2 linked regions of the Danio rerio genome follow. Each later gene encodes a partner of the first gene's protein in a complex. Links are inferred from orthologs where the notes say so. Each region holds a gene or a part of one and is shown on either strand. Other genes may lie near its edges.

Region 1 (8,440 bases):
CGGCTCTGTCATGGTCTGGGGTTGTGTCGGTGCTCTGGGCAGAGGTGACCTGCTCTTCTGTGATGCTCCAGTAATGCTGAACAGCACAGAGAGATTCTGGACCCGCATTACAGAGTCCTGCTGCGGAGGAAGAGGAGACAGACACTGGACTGGCCTGCCTGCAGCCCCGACCTGTCTCCAATAGAGAATGTGTGGCATGAAGAGCCCGTACTGTTGCCCACATTAAGACTGGTTTGTCTTTAGTGCATAAACAGCTTACCAGTGTGGTGAAGAGGAACAGCAGCAGCAGCAGCAGCACACACTGCTGAACGCTTCACTGACACGGCTCACTCTGACATGTGCTGCAGAAACCAACACTGGAATACGTGGAAAACAAACGATGATGATGATGATGATGAACACATGAATTAAATGTTTATAGAGACCTGTGTGTGTTTGTGTGTGTGTGTGTGTGTGTGTGTGTGTGTGTGTGTGCAGGTGATCAGCAATGCTCTGGGTGTGTGGGGTCTGGAGATCGTCCTCTTCAACAGCAGAGAGTACCAGCAGCTGCAGATGGACCCCATGTGAGTGTGTGAGCGCTGTATCCTCTATGTGTGTGTGTGTGTGTGTGTGTGTGTGTCTCCTCTGCACACACTCATCCTCCTCTGCTGTCTTTCAGGCATGAGAAGGCCTTCATCTGCAACTATAAGGAGCACTGGTTCACCGTGCGCAAGCTGGGACAGCAGGTGTGTGTGTGTGTGTGTGTGTGTGTGTTCAGGGTCAGAAAGGTGTGTGTTTGTTGACTCTTTCTTTCTCTCTCTGTGTGTTTGTGTGTGTGTCAGTGGTTTAACCTGAACTCTCTGCTGACGGGTCCGGAGCTGATCTCAGACACATACCTGGCCCTGTTCCTCGCACAGCTGCAGCAGGAGGGTAACACTCATTATCGTGTGTGTGTGTGTGTGTGTGTGTGTGTGTGTGTGTGTGTGTGTGTGTGTGTCCGCTTCAGCGCTGCTCTTGTCCTCCTGCAGGTTACTCTATATTTGTGATTCGGGGGAATCTGCCGGAGTGTGAAGCGGATCAGATCCTGCGCATCATGAGGGTGGAGCAGCAGCAGCGGCCCAAGCTGATCGGAGAGGAGGAGACGCAGAGGTACACACACACACACACACACACACACACACACACACACACACACACACACACACACACACACACACACTGGAGTCTCCATAATTGAGCACTGCAGCTGATTGTGTGTGTGTGTGTGTGTGTGTGTATATATGTATGTGTGTATGTTGTCAGGATGTCAGCACCGCACGCGTCTGAAACCACACACACTGCAGAGGAGCCGGTGCTGGACGAGGATGAGGAGGAGCTGAGGAAGGCTCTCGCGCTCAGCAGACAAGACCTGCAGGTGGAGGATGAGGAGGCAGACCTGCGCAGAGCCATACAGATGAGCATGCAGGGTGAGCACACACACACACACACACACACACACACACACACACACACAGCTGTAGTGATGTGTGTACTGCACAGACCGTATATTCTCTAAACTCAACCCTCACAGTGAACACTGCACCTTCACATCTTCACAATCCTCCGTTCTGCCTGATCTGCACGCTTGTTTACCTGTGATCATCTCAATTTGATCCTCACGGTGATCCAAGTCCCCATGAGTCTGTGTGCATTTAGGTTCAAGTCCCCACTGAGATATAAAAACCAGTACAAACACTTATACAAACTCACACAGTGATGTACTCTCTCTCTCTCTCTCTCACACACACACACACACACACACACACACACACACACACACACACACTCTCTCGTCCTGTAGGCAGCAGTGATGCGGGATCCTCGGCTCCTGCAGGGGGCAGCAGTGAGAAGCAGACGCTCAGTGCAGAGGAGCTGCGCAGGAGGAGACAGGCTTACTTCGACAGGTGAGCACACACACACACACACACACACACACACATCATGCAGACGTGATGATCAGTCAAGAGTAAACGCTGAGTGTGTGATCTGTGACAGGCAGCAGAACGCACAGGACAGCAGCAGCAGCACAGGTAAGAGGAGAGCGCGCACACACACACACACACACACACACACTATAGGAGCAGTGTGAAAGGGTCTGTTCACCCAGAGCTCATCCTGTGGTTAGTGACTCTCCTCGTGTTGGCGGAGCGGTGCAGGACGGGTCATTAACAGCAGAATGCTGCTGTTTGGGTGAGCCGTCCCTTTAAGAGCCGGTCTGAGCGCTCTGCTGTCGGTTTGCAGGAGGCGGGACGGACAGCGGGCCCAAACCCACCCAGTGACGTTGCCGTGGCGACGGTGACAGACGCACCGCTCGCCCTGAACACGCCCCCTGCGGGGATGATGGGAACGACGCCTCGGCTCAGCACAGCTCCGGCCGGCGGGCTCATTACGGACGCTCGTTTAGCTTTGCTTGACCTCTGTGTGTGGAGCGGGAAGCGTTTCCGGAACATTCCTCTTCCTCAGACTGCCTTCAGTGCACACCAGAGCCAGACGCGGACACTGGAACACGCCCAAGTGCATTCTGGGACCATTCGGGCTTTACTGGGTTTCTGCATATTTCCTCTTCTCCTCTGTGAATTACCGTGTGTGTGTGTGTGTGTGTGTGTGTGTGTGTGTGTGTGTGTGTGTGTGTGTGTGTGTTTGATCTATTCACTAATGAAGGTAGACTCTCACGCACCCTAGGTAGTGAACACTGTGTGCGTGAGGGCGGAGCTCACGTAGGCCGGACCAGAGAATCAACATGTGATGATTTCAGCCAATCAGGAGTGTACATGTGATGATTTCAGCCAATCAGACGCGCTTCAGTCAGTCAGGTGTCGTCCCTCAGGCTCTGCTTGTCTTCATTTGTGTGGTTTGGCGTTCAGCAATAGTTTGTAAGTGATCTGGATGACTCTTGCACTTCTCTACACACACTTCTGTTTCTTGAATAAAGGATTTGCTGGAGTGGACTGAAGATGTGGGATGTGTGTTTCATTAGCGATGATGAAAAGGATGAAAAAGTGAAAATGAAAAAGGTTCCAGAAAACAGAACTTATGTTCCTTTGTTTGTGAAAAAATACAACAATATATATGTTATTATAATGCCTGACATGTGTATTTTACAAAACTGAGACCCAAAGCTAAATATCTGAGCAAGTTATAGTCCCAATTTGAAGTTGAAATCTCTTTTGGTAATGTTTATTTTGGCTGCAGTACCAGACATGACCACTGGTTTCCATTCAGTTTACATTGGTGAGCATACAAGAGCGAACCCTGAGTTTGGAGAAGTATAAACTGTATTTTCACACACAGACAACGTGTGTAGAGTAGACATTAAATGAGGAAGCAGTATGGACAGTTTGGTGGTCTTTGCATTAAATTTAGCCTCTTAAAAACATCTAAACCTGTCTTCACACGAGGATTGCTGTAGCAAAGTAATGCTTTATTACGACTTCTTATGAATGACTTTTGTCCCGCGTGCACTGATTGGCGCAGTTATGCATTGACAGTGCTGTGAACTGTTATGGGATGATCAGATGCATGTCTGTTATTTTAATTATTAACGTTGTTTAAAATGCAGATCAGAGTGAACTTTCCCAGATTCATACATGTATACCCTCATACATAATATAATATGGTAAATTCCCCAGCACTGAAACACACACAGTGGCTATATGTGACATAACAGTGACGCACTGGAGCGGCCGTCCTGATCCAGCTCTGAATGGTTTGTTTGTGGTCAGTTCTGGCCTCTGCTGACCCAGACTGACCCGCAGGGCTGGAAACAGTTTGATTGTTAATAGATAATCTCTGATGTTCACTGAACTTTGTCTCTGTAAACAGACGAATCACAACACACGGCTCGAGATCTTCATCTGCCGCATCTGCGCGTGAGTACACGACATTTTAAAGGCTCTTTATATTCTTCTGGGTTTTGCCTTTCTGTTTTAATGCTCGTGGATTGCCTTTGGTACAGATTTACTCTGTTTCACATGGTCATAAACACAGCATGCATGGCTAACTGAGTGTGTGTGCTCTTGTGTAATGTGACAGGGAATATTTCTAACTCTGTATCGATTGCTGTGGATCTGCATCTGTTACTGGTGTTGTGCATGTCTGTGAACCTTTTGTCAAAGCATTGTTGAGGCGGTCTTCAATAGTCAATATGAAGAGTTTCAGTGCTGACATATGGAAGTTCATAATAGTTGGAAAGCTTTAGTGAGGGATAAAGGGAATCCAGGCAGTCGTTGTCTCAGAATAAAGCCGGACAGGTTTATCAGCAGCTGTTGTAGAGGACTGAAGGGTTTATTCTGTGAACACGACCCACTGGACACAACCCTCCTTTATCCTGATTATTACACGGCTGCTGGCCACAACATATAAACATTAGACGCAGAACATTGATCTGAGCTGTAATAGTAACACGGGCGTCTGTAGCTCCGCCCTCTTCTGAAATGACAATCTCATTTGCATTTAAAGCAACAGTCTCCAAAACACTACAGTTAGGATCAAAGCCTGAAAGGGTCAGCTTCAGAGAGCTGGAGAACATCATCTGTGTGCTGTTCTCCACTCAAAGTGAAACACAAACACTGTAGAACGGGGATGTCCAAACTCGGTCCTGGAGAGTTTAGCTCCAACCCTAATCGAACACACCTGAACCAGCTAATCAAGCTCTGACTAGATACACTAGAGCAGGGGTGGCCAACCCTGTTCCTGGAGAGCCACCTTCCTGCAGATTTCAGTTGCAGCCCATATCAAACACACCTGCCTGTAATGATCACCTGGTGTTCAGGTCCTAATTAAATGGTTCAGGTGTGTTTGATATGGGCAGCACCTGAAATCTGCAGGAAGGGAGATCTCCAGGAACAGGGTTGGCCATTCCTGAACTAGAAGCTTCCAGGCAGGTGTGTTGGAGCTAAACTCTCCAGGCCCGAGTTTGGACAGCCCTGCTCTGGACACAGCTGAGATGCATGTACAGCGTTTAGAAAGGGACACAATAGGTCTGCTTTAACGTCTGTTGTACCTCCATTGTGTTATCCCTGTGTAGGGCGTCTGACGACCATCTTCAGCTCCAGAGTTTCCCACAGAGAGTGTAAGATGGAGTTCAGACTTCTCCTCGTCTTCATTTCCGCGTGTTTTCTGTGCTCTGCTGAACATGAAGAGCTCAGAACTCCTGATATCTCAGATCTGGCCTTCAGAAACACAGACTTCGCCATCAACCTCTACCGCAAGATCTCCAGTTTGCACGACAGGAACGTGGTGTTCTCTCCGCTGAGCGTCTCCACGTGTTTCTCGGCGCTCCTGCTGGCGGCGCAGGGCTCCACGCGCACCGAGATACTGAAGGGTCTGAATCTGGAGGCTCTGGATGGAGGAGACTCCCGGCGGGTTCCTGAACTCTTCCAGCAGCTCCACCAGAACATCTCCCTGCAGATGGAGCAGGGCACGGCGCTCTTCCTGGACCAGCACTTCCACCTGCAGACCAACTTCAGCCAGCAGATCCAGAGGTTCTTCAATGCGGAGGTGCTCAGGGTGGACTTCAGCAAGCCGGCGGTCTGCAGGAGCCTCATCAATGAGTTCGTCAGCAGAAAGACCGGCCGGAAAGTGCTGGAGATGCTGGAGAGCGTGGAGCCGCTCACGCAGATGATGCTCCTCAACACCATCTTCTACAAGGGTAAGACTTACTCCAGACACAGATATGAGCTTCAGCTCTGGGATTGCACTGATAAATGTGGAGCCAAAGAACATTGAGTGAGTGAATGAGTGATGTCCAATGCATGTTGTGTTGACATTAAGATGGGATGGAAGTCAGGGGTTACAGGTTTTCAGCTCTCTCCAGATCATAAAGGTTTGGAACCGCTTGAGGGAGAGTAAACAGCGAGTGAATGTTGATCTTTGAGGGAGCTGTCCCTTTACACTCTTTGTTCTGCAGGTGATTGGGAGCGTCCGTTCAACCCCAACAACACAGAGAAGAGCCGCTTCTACGTGGACAAATACAACATCGTTCAGGTGCCCATGATGATGCTGGAGGAGAAGTTCTCTGTGGTGGAGGACCGGGATCTGCGCGCTCGAGTGCTGCGTCTGCCGTACCGCGGTGGAGCCTCCATGCTGATCCTCCTGCCCAACGCTGACGCAGACTACACCGCCATCGAGGACGAGATCAGCGCCGAGCGGCTCCACGGCTGGATCAAGAACATGAGGAGAATGTGAGCCACACGCTGGGATGCACTCAGTCACTGGCCACTGACAACCATAGGCCGAACAAATGGAGGGAAAGTGTCACTGCGCTACTGTAGAGGCTTCCACACCGCACACGGGACGCACTTCACTATGAGCCTGTCCACAGCTGCTCTCGTCATGCTTTTCCAAATGTTTACAGTATTTCTGAAACCGTTTCCATTTCACCACATGAGCGCGTCTCTGTTAAATGGACACGATGCCCGTCTTCAACTCAGGCGCTATATGCTCATTTATTTAGGTGACGTCAACTACAGCATCAGATACGACACCTTCTATTGAAATAATATTGATGTTTACAGAAACGTAAGATATATCTTTGACATATAAGTAATATTGAATCACACTGAGGATCATCACGAGCGCACGATACTCCATTATTAGTGTAACGGAGGCCAGCTGGTGAGTGCTGTGCAGGTAAACCTCCATGGTCTTAACCAACTCCCATGCGGAAGGTCGCTGGTTCGATACCAGCTCGGAGCGGGTTGGGTGGGCTAGGACCGGCGGGGTTACATTAGCTAAATGAAACATGTTTTGTCATCCAGACAGGTGCAGAAGCTCATTCAGAACTGTACAGCAGAAAATAACCCTGTCCTCAGCTTCCCCCATGGGCAGCTTCTTCTGCTTGTTTCAAGGGAAAACTCCTGTAGTTTAGAGTCTGACGGCTTTTCTTGATGGTGTGTGTGTGTTTTACCTTGACTGGTGTGTTTTCTGTTGACGGGTGGTGTTGTGTGTGTGTGTGTCAGGAAGATGGAGGTGCATCTGCCCCGGTTCCGCATGGATCAGTCGTACCACATGCATGAGCTCCTGCCTCAGCTGGGCATCAGCAGCGTCTTCCAGGACTCCGCAGATCTCACCGGGCTAAGCAGAGACGCACATCTGAAGGTCTCTCAGGTGACTGAACGCATACACACTCACACACACTTACATACACATTGAATAAAACACACACACACACACACATATCCAACAAAACACATATGCACACAAATACACACACAAATCTGCAATAAAACACACATGCACACAGAAACACACACACACACACACACACAAATTTACACACACATATATATGTGCACAAGTATGCCGCAATACACATGCACACACAAATCTGCAATAAAACACACATGCACACAGAAACACAACACAAACAAATAGGCATGCACACAGAAACACACATATGCACACAAACAGACACACACAAATACACACATGTGCAAATATGCAATAAAACACACATGCACACAGAAACACACTCAACACACACATGCAGTGAAACATACACAAACACACGTGCACATGTAAAAGTAAAACACACATACAGACACACTCACACAACACGCACACAAATACACACACCGGCACAAATATGCAATAACACACACATATACACACAGAAAAACACTCAACACAACACATACATGTGCGCATCTATGCAGTAAAACATACACACCACACACAGAAACACACAACACGCACGCACACACATGTCATGTGCACACATGTGCAATTAAACACATATGCACACACACACACACACACAAGTTTGTTTCCTATCTCAGTGAGGACATTAGACTTCCATAGTTTTTCTGTCAGGTTAATGAGAGTGTCTGTGGCCTAGCCCAGGCCCTGACCCTAACCTTAAGCGTCTCAGAAACATCCGCTCATCACAGACGTGTTTGTGTATATGTGTCTCTGTATGTGTGTGTTTGTTTCTGTGTGTTTCTGTGTGTGTGTGTGTGTGTGTGTGTGTGTGTGTGTGTGTGTGTGTGTGTGTGTGTGCGCTCGCAGGTTCTTCATAAGGCAGTGATAGAGGTGTATGAGCAGGGCACCAGCGCTGCCTCCTCCACATCAGTGGGCATCACGGCGTACTCTCTGCCGGACACCTTCATCATCAACAGACCCTTCTTCTTCTTCCTCTACCACGAGGAGACCGCCAGCCTGCTGTTCATGGGCAGAGTCATCGACCCCACGCTCAGCTGACACACACACTCTGATGGAGACCGACCGCCCTCTCACACACACACACACACAACACACAACACATACACACATTTAATGGAGACCATATTCATAAACAGACACACACACACACAACAAACACATTGATGGAGACATTTCTCATTAACACACACAACACACAAACATTGATGGAGACATTTCTCGTAAACACACACACACACACACAGACGGAGGCAATACTCAT
Region 2 (7,085 bases), on another chromosome or scaffold:
TCAGGCTCATAAAGAGGAGAACTGGTGAGATGTGTGTTATATTATTTGTGTTTTATTAAATCAAATGTGTGTGTGTGTGTGTGTGTGTGTGTGCGCGTCACTGATGATGATCTGTGTGTTTCAGGGCACTGCCCATCATGTTCGCCGTGACCCTTGACCTCAGGATATTCGCCAATAATGTGAGTGGAACTGCTGCATTAGTGTGTACATGGGTGCGTTTGTGTGTGTGTGTGTTCATGCTTGGGTGTCTATGTGTTTGTATACCTGTGTGTGTGTTGTGCATGTGTGTATGCATGCATTTATGTATGTATGTGTGTGTGTCCAGGCGGAGCAGCAGCTGCAGCAGAAGGGCAAAGGGAAGGTTGGAGATATGCTGGAGAAAGCGGCGGAGCAGCTAATGAGCTGCTTCAGAGTGTGTGCCAGCGACAAGTGAGTGCACATTACAGCGGTACTCATATCTGTCTGTTACACACTCGGTCAAAGCCTCACGTCTGGGACGCTCACAGCAGCTGTTGCTCAGACGCTGATCTGAAATGATCTGTCCTATAACATGAGCTGCGTTAATGTGAGTCTGGGTCCATCCATACGGTCACATGACATGTGTGTGTGTGTGTGTGTTTCAGTCGCGCTGGGATTGACGACTCGAAGAAATGGGGAATGTTGTTCCTCATCAATCAGCTCTTCAAGATCTATTTCAAAGTAAGAGTCTATACTGTATCTGTATTTATCATATTTCCACATCTTTATTACAGTCACTGCTTCAGTCAGACACTTTGAGTAGTGATCCAGTCTTCTGTTCGCCGCCAGGTCAACATGTCTGACTCTAGTTGATGTGTGTGTGTGTGTGTGTGTGTGTGTGTGTGTGTGTCAGATCAATAAGCTGCACCTGTGTAAGCCGCTCATCCGCGCCATCGACAGCTCCAACCTGAAGGACGAGTACACCATGGCTCAGCGCGTCACCTACAAATACTACGTGGGCAGGAAGGCCATGTTCGACAGCGACTTCAAACCAGGTCTGACCACATGAGGATGAGGATGGCCATTATGGTGGAAGCTTGGTGATGATGATTGTTATGGTGATAATTATGATGAAGATGATGAATAATTTGGTTGTCATGTTGATGGTATGTGATGATGATGAGGGCTGTTATAGTGTGATGATGTTACAGTACATAATGATGATGTTGATGATGATGATGATGATGATGATGAAGGTGTGTGTGTGTGTGCAGCTGAGGAGTGTCTGTCGTTCTCCTTTACCCACTGCCATCGCTCCTGCCAGAGGAACAAGCGGCTGATCCTCATCTACCTGCTGCCCGTTAAGATGCTGCTGGTAAACATGTCATTTATTATTGTTATTATTATTTATTATGATTATTATATGATTATTAATTCTTATTTTCATTATGATTAAATGTGCAAACTCTTAAAATGTTTGTTTCCACAGATAATCAGCAATTATCCAATCTAAATGTGATTGTGTAAACGTGATCTGTTGCGCAACAGTGTAAGTGACAGTAGTGTGTGTGTGTGTGTGTGTGTGTGTGGTTTTTTTAGGGTCACATGCCCACACACCAGCTACTGAAGAAATATGACCTCATGCAGTTTGCTGATGTCACTAAAGCTGTCAGGTAAAACACACACACACACACACACACACACACACACACACACACACACACACACACACACACACACACACACACACACAGTAAAATTGCTGTAGGTCTTAATCATCATATCATCCTCTGCTCGTGTGTGTGTGTGTGTGTGTGTGTGTGTGTGTGTGTCAGTGAGGGGAATCTGCTGCTGCTGAACGCCGCTCTGGTCAAACACGAGACGTTCTTCATCCGCTGCGGGATCTTCCTCATCCTGGAGAAGCTGAAGATCATCACCTACAGAAACCTCTTCAAGAAAGTGTGAGTGTTGTGTGTGTGTGTGTGTGTGTGTGTGTGTGGTTCACCCAGATCATGCAGATCACATCTTCTTCCTCTGCAGGTATCATCTCCTGAGGACTCATCAGCTTCCTCTGGCTGCATTTCTGGTGTCGCTGCAGATGATGAAGGTGGAGGACGTGGACATCGACGAGGTGCAGTGCATTCTGGCCAACCTCATCTACATGGTGAGACACACACACACACACACACACACACACACACACACACACACACACACACACACACACACTCCTCACACACATCATTATTAGTCAACAAGGCAACATTTCTAATGGATCCTTCATGCAATATTTGAGTTTATATTTCAGCATCAAATGATTTTGGTTTGAGTTCTCGCTGTCTGCAGGTCATATTCTGGTGCTGCTTCTCTTCTTTCCAGTTCATGAGTTATGAATATGATTATGTGTTTTGTGTCTCTCAGGGTCACATTAAGGGCTATATTTCCCATCAGCACCAGAAGCTGGTGGTCAGCAAGCAGAATCCCTTCCCTCCGCTGTCCAGCATCTCCTGAACTCCATCTCCCAGAATGCACCATCACAGACACACTGATCCTCAGAGCTTCGGTCTTATATTCTTCTGAATATTGTTAGATAAACATCACACTGTTTTGTACATTTTCTTTTTTTAATTACTGATCAATCATTTATAAATTCAGCCTAAAATCATTAGAATGGCAATATTTTAATTATATTGCATTAAACAATATATTATTTTATACATGACTCACATTTAATCCAGATTTGTACACATTACGGATGTTGAATCTTACAGGAATAACATGTTTAATGAACATTATGTCACATAAAAAAGAAAGAAAGTATTTTGTTGTCAGTTGTAGTCATTTTATTTATTTAATTTATTATTTTTTTCAGCCAAACACTGATTCTCATCTGAGTTTTCAGGAAATCGTTTTTAAAATAAAACAATTCTTAACTTATTATCTTTTAAATCTCGACTGCAATGCAATCATTTTTAGAATCGCTATAAATAACTCAACAGTAATGTAACGTATTACTCACCATAACAGGTAACCAAGTAAAGCTACTAGTTCCTCTTCAGTAACTCAAGTAAGGAGCAGCTCAATATTGCACTGCATTACTTTCAAAATCAGATCCTGCTCTGTGTATAGTCTGTTTCCCTCTCAGGGTTGCTCCCTCTCGGAGGCGAGCAGCAGCGGCCGCAGCCAGTGCAGGTATCGGGACAGTTTGGTGAACAGCAGTGTGTCCCCGCAGCGTCCCGCAGACAGAGACACGCCTGTCAGAAAGGCTGTTTTTCCCTCCAGTGTGGCGGCGGGGCTGCCGGAGCTCACAGTGCAGCGCTCGGAGCCTGCAGACTCACGCTTCATGCAGAACATCTTATTGGTCATCACGAAGGTGAGGTTCAGAGCGTCACGGCAGTCGTCCAATGACAGGTATGAGTATGTGGCTCCGCCCTCGGCCACACCCTCTCGCCCTGCCCTCATCAGGATGTTCTCGCTGTAGTCTTTCTCAGGCAGGCAGAGCGGGACGGTGCTGATGTTGGGGGGGAACGGCTCCTGCAGCTCCAGGAAACACAGGTCATCATCCGGACCAGAGAGGAAACGCTTATGAGGTGTCCAGCTGGAGACGCGCACAGCTGCAGTGGAGACGCCCACCGCTGGAAAACACCAGACACCATGTCAACACGCAAATAAGGGATTACCTCAACCCCCCCACAGAAAACAAACAAATTACCACCCCGCAGTAGAACAAATATGGGAGAATCCTGGGAAAATGGGTTGACGGGTATAACACACATGCAGATCAGCACCTCCACACATGGCTCTCGGCTCAGAGATAAACATGAGTGTGTGTTTCTCACCGACAGTGAAGTGCAGATCCTGCAGTGCAGTCATACATGTGGCTGATGTCAGAATAGACTTCTGGCCCAGAATCACACCGTGACACACGTCATGACCGCTGGCGTTCAGAAACCTCACCTGCAGAAAACACACATCTCTGATGAATATTCAACAGCTGCTCTTCTGATTGGCTGATCATGTTTGAAGATGATTCATCTACTTTTCACCTCCCATGAGCAGCGTCCATCAGGACAGAAACTGGACATCTCCGTCGTCCCGCACGGGTTCTGGACTGAGAAGAACGAGAATGATTTACATTGCATTGAAGTCCTTTTATATTTATGCTCGTGTCTTTCCTAAGAAATTAACCCATCATTTTGTGATTAATAGCACATACTCTGTGGTCTGCAGAAATGAGGCAAATATGCAGTTTCTAATAATGCAGCAGTAAAGAAGCACAATTCAGCAGAAATGTAACAAGGACGGAGCGGTAAAGATGCAGAGGTACTGAGGCATACATACAGCAATGATGAAATATATATGTAGCGGTAATAATGCATAAATACAGTAATAATAAACCAAAGATCTAGCGGTAATGAAGCATAGATACAACAATAATGAAGCAAAGATGCAGCAGTTATGCAACAATGATGTAGCGGTAATGAAGCAAAGATGTACCGGTATTGATGCATAGATACAGCACTAATGAAACAAATATGTAGCAGTAATGATGCATAGATACAGCACTAATGAAATAATGATGCATAGATACAGCACTAATGAAACAAATATGTAGCGGTAATGAAGCAAAGATGCAGTGTTAATGATGCATAGATACAGCACTAATGAAACAAATATGTAGCGGTATTGATGCATAGATACAGCACTAATGAAATAAATATGTAGCGGTAATGATGCATAGATACAGCACTAATGAAACAAATATGTAGCGGTAATGATGCATAGATACAGCACTAATGAAATAATGATGCATAGATACAGCACTAATGAAACAAATATGTAGCGGTAATGAAGCAAAGATGCAGTGTTAATGATGCATAGATACAGCACTAATGAAACAAATATGTAGCGGTATTGATGCATAGATACAGCACTAATGAAACAAATATGTAGCGGTAATGATGCATAGATACAGCACTAATGAAATAATGATGCATAGATACAGCACTAATGAAACAAATATGTAGCGGTAATGAAGCAAAGATGCAGTGTTAATGATGCATAGATACAGCACAAATGAAACAAATATGTAGCGGTAATGATGCATAGATACAGCACTAATGAAACAAATATGTAGCGGTAATGATGCATAGATACAGCACTAATGAAACAAATATGTAGCGGTAATGATGCATAGATACAGCACTAATGAAACAAATATGTAGCGGTAATGATGCATAGATACAGCACTAATGAAATAATGATGCATAGATACAGCACTAATGAAACAAATATGTAGCGGTAATGATGCATAGATACAGCACTAATGAAATAATGATGCATAGATACAGCACTAATGAAACAAATATGTAGCGGTAATGATGCATAGATACAGCACTAATGAAATAATGATGCATAGATACAGCACTAATGAAACAAATATGTAGTGGTAATGAAGCAAAGATAGAGCAATAATGTAACAAATATGTAGCAGTAATGAAGCAAAGATGTAGCGGTAATGATGCATAAATACAGTAATAATAAACCAAAGATGTAGCGGTAATGAAGCAAAGATACAGCAATAATAAAACAGATGTAGCTGTAATGAAGCAAAGATGTAGCGGTAATGATGCATAGATACAGCGATAATAAAACAGATGTAGCATTAATGAAGCAAAGATGTAGCGGTAATAATGCATAAATACAGTAATAATAAACCAAAGATGTAGCGGTAATGAAGCATAGATACAACAATAATGAAGCAAAGATGCAGCAGTTATGCAACAATGATGTAGCGGTAATGAAGCAAAGATGTAGCGGTAATGATGCATAGATACAGCACTAATGAAACAAATATGTAGCAGTAATGAAGCAAAGATGTTGCCGTAATGATGCATAAATACAGTAATAATAAACCAAAGATGTAGCGGTAATGAAGCAAAGATACAGCAATAATAAAACAAAGATGTAGCGGTAATATTGCATAAATGAAGTAATATTGCGGTAATGAAGCAAAGATGCAGTGGTAATGAAGCAATTAAATGCAGCGAGTTTCAGTGATTTGTGTGTTTCAGCAAGTGTTTGAGTGATTTGTGAGTGTTTGAGTACCGTTAGGTGAGCAGCTCCTGCCGTCGCTGTTGAGTGTGTATCCGCGAGCACAGAAGCATCGGTATGCAGCTGTTGACGGCCTGCAGAAGTGCTCACATGCTAAAGGGCCAGCAGATGGACACTGGGATTTATCTGGAAAACAGCAGGGTGAAGCGTCAGACATGCATCAGACACACTGATCTCATGTTCACTGGTGCCAATTGCACATTTACCTGTCTGACAGTCGTGCCCGCTGTACGCCTCCGCACAGGTACAGGTGTATCGGCCGATGCCATCCTTACACGTGCCGCCATGTTGACACGGGTTAGATCTGCACTGGTCTCCATCTGACAGCCGAAATATGCTCATTTAATACAACTGCAGTAATATAGCAGAGGAGCTTTAGTATCTAAACTGAAAAGACTTCAAAATATAAATAATTAAACATAGAACAAATGAAGAGCACAAGGCTTTATGTAAAAGTCTAAAACAATTAAAAATTATCTTTAAATAATGTAAACAAGCTGTCAGAATCATTTCATTCAATCATTGAATAAACATTCTGAAGGTCACTCACCATAGTATTTGGCCCAGAACTCATTCTTTAACAGGGAAAAGAGATGTATGAGTGAGTTAGGTTAAACTTTCAGTAGCATTTAGTTATACTATTTGAAAACTTATAACTTAATAAAATGTTATAACTTAATAAAAGCTAAAACATTTACAACGAAGTATTTAAGCTCGAGGGCGGGGCTTCACGGGGTCATGTGTTATTAAGGTCACCTGATAAACTCATTTTCTCTCCCTTTTTCATTTCCACTGACAAAAAACGAATTAAATGAAAGTAAAGAAAATTAATTATGATGAAACAGCTGTGCTTTTTAAACAGTCGTCATGAAGTGGGAGGAGTCAATTAGCCCGCGCTCAGTTGTGGCGCGCATGTTTCGCGGGCATTCGGTCATAATCAACATCAGTGATCGTAATGAAGCGTAATTAAAGACAAAAACATGACGACGGACTTTCTGAAACCAGTTAACCTT

What was found.
Region 2: the proteins of serpina10b (region 1) and prozb are in contact, whole or in part, in a crystal structure (PDB 3H5C), measured with the Homo sapiens proteins. The link is inferred for Danio rerio from reciprocal best matches to the Homo sapiens genes SERPINA10 and PROZ. Residues at the interface, in NP_001094077.1 of Homo sapiens: Arg88, Lys89, Ser91, Met92, His94, Asp95, His257, Asp259, Lys260, Tyr261, Asn282, Phe283, Lys305, Met306, Asp308, His309, Leu310, Ala311, Leu312, Asp314, Tyr315, Leu316; in NP_003882.1 of Homo sapiens: Cys129, Pro131, Cys141, Leu142, Pro143, Ser151, His250, Met251, Arg252, Asp254, Ala257, Glu259, Asn260, Glu284, Lys285, Asp286, Phe287, His290, Leu291, Thr336, Thr337, Arg338, Arg390, Ser392, Leu393, Trp394, Gln397.

What each region holds. Positions count from the first base shown.
Region 1 is NC_133192.1:59,468,385-59,476,824, forward strand, and holds the start of serpina10b (protein Z-dependent protease inhibitor), read left to right. Parts: upstream 1-3,838; 5' UTR 3,839-3,887; intron 3,888-5,044; 5' UTR 5,045-5,094; coding exon 5,095-5,668; intron 5,669-5,926; coding exon 5,927-6,200; intron 6,201-6,977; coding exon 6,978-7,125; intron 7,126-8,025; coding exon 8,026-8,217; 3' UTR 8,218-8,243; exon of another isoform or gene 8,244-8,348; 3' UTR 8,349-8,440. Other genes in the region: atxn3 (ataxin-3), read left to right, coding at 478-563, 659-725, 822-909, 1,008-1,128, 1,282-1,445, 1,820-1,922, 2,014-2,048, 2,260-2,297. UniProt on the Homo sapiens protein: Inhibits activity of the coagulation protease factor Xa in the presence of PROZ, calcium and phospholipids. Also inhibits factor XIa in the absence of cofactors.
Region 2 is NC_133176.1:417,817-424,901, reverse strand, and holds the end of prozb (protein Z, vitamin K-dependent plasma glycoprotein b precursor), read right to left. Parts: intron 6,648-7,085; coding exon 6,623-6,647; intron 6,393-6,622; coding exon 6,279-6,392; intron 6,199-6,278; coding exon 6,067-6,198; intron 4,070-6,066; coding exon 4,005-4,069; intron 3,916-4,004; coding exon 3,798-3,915; intron 3,594-3,797; coding exon 3,100-3,593; 3' UTR 2,779-3,099; downstream 1-2,778. Other genes in the region: pcid2 (PCI domain-containing protein 2), read left to right, coding at 1-24, 125-179, 326-429, 624-699, 872-1,013, 1,233-1,333, 1,558-1,631, 1,794-1,919 and 2 more. UniProt on the Homo sapiens protein: Appears to assist hemostasis by binding thrombin and promoting its association with phospholipid vesicles. Inhibits activity of the coagulation protease factor Xa in the presence of SERPINA10, calcium and phospholipids.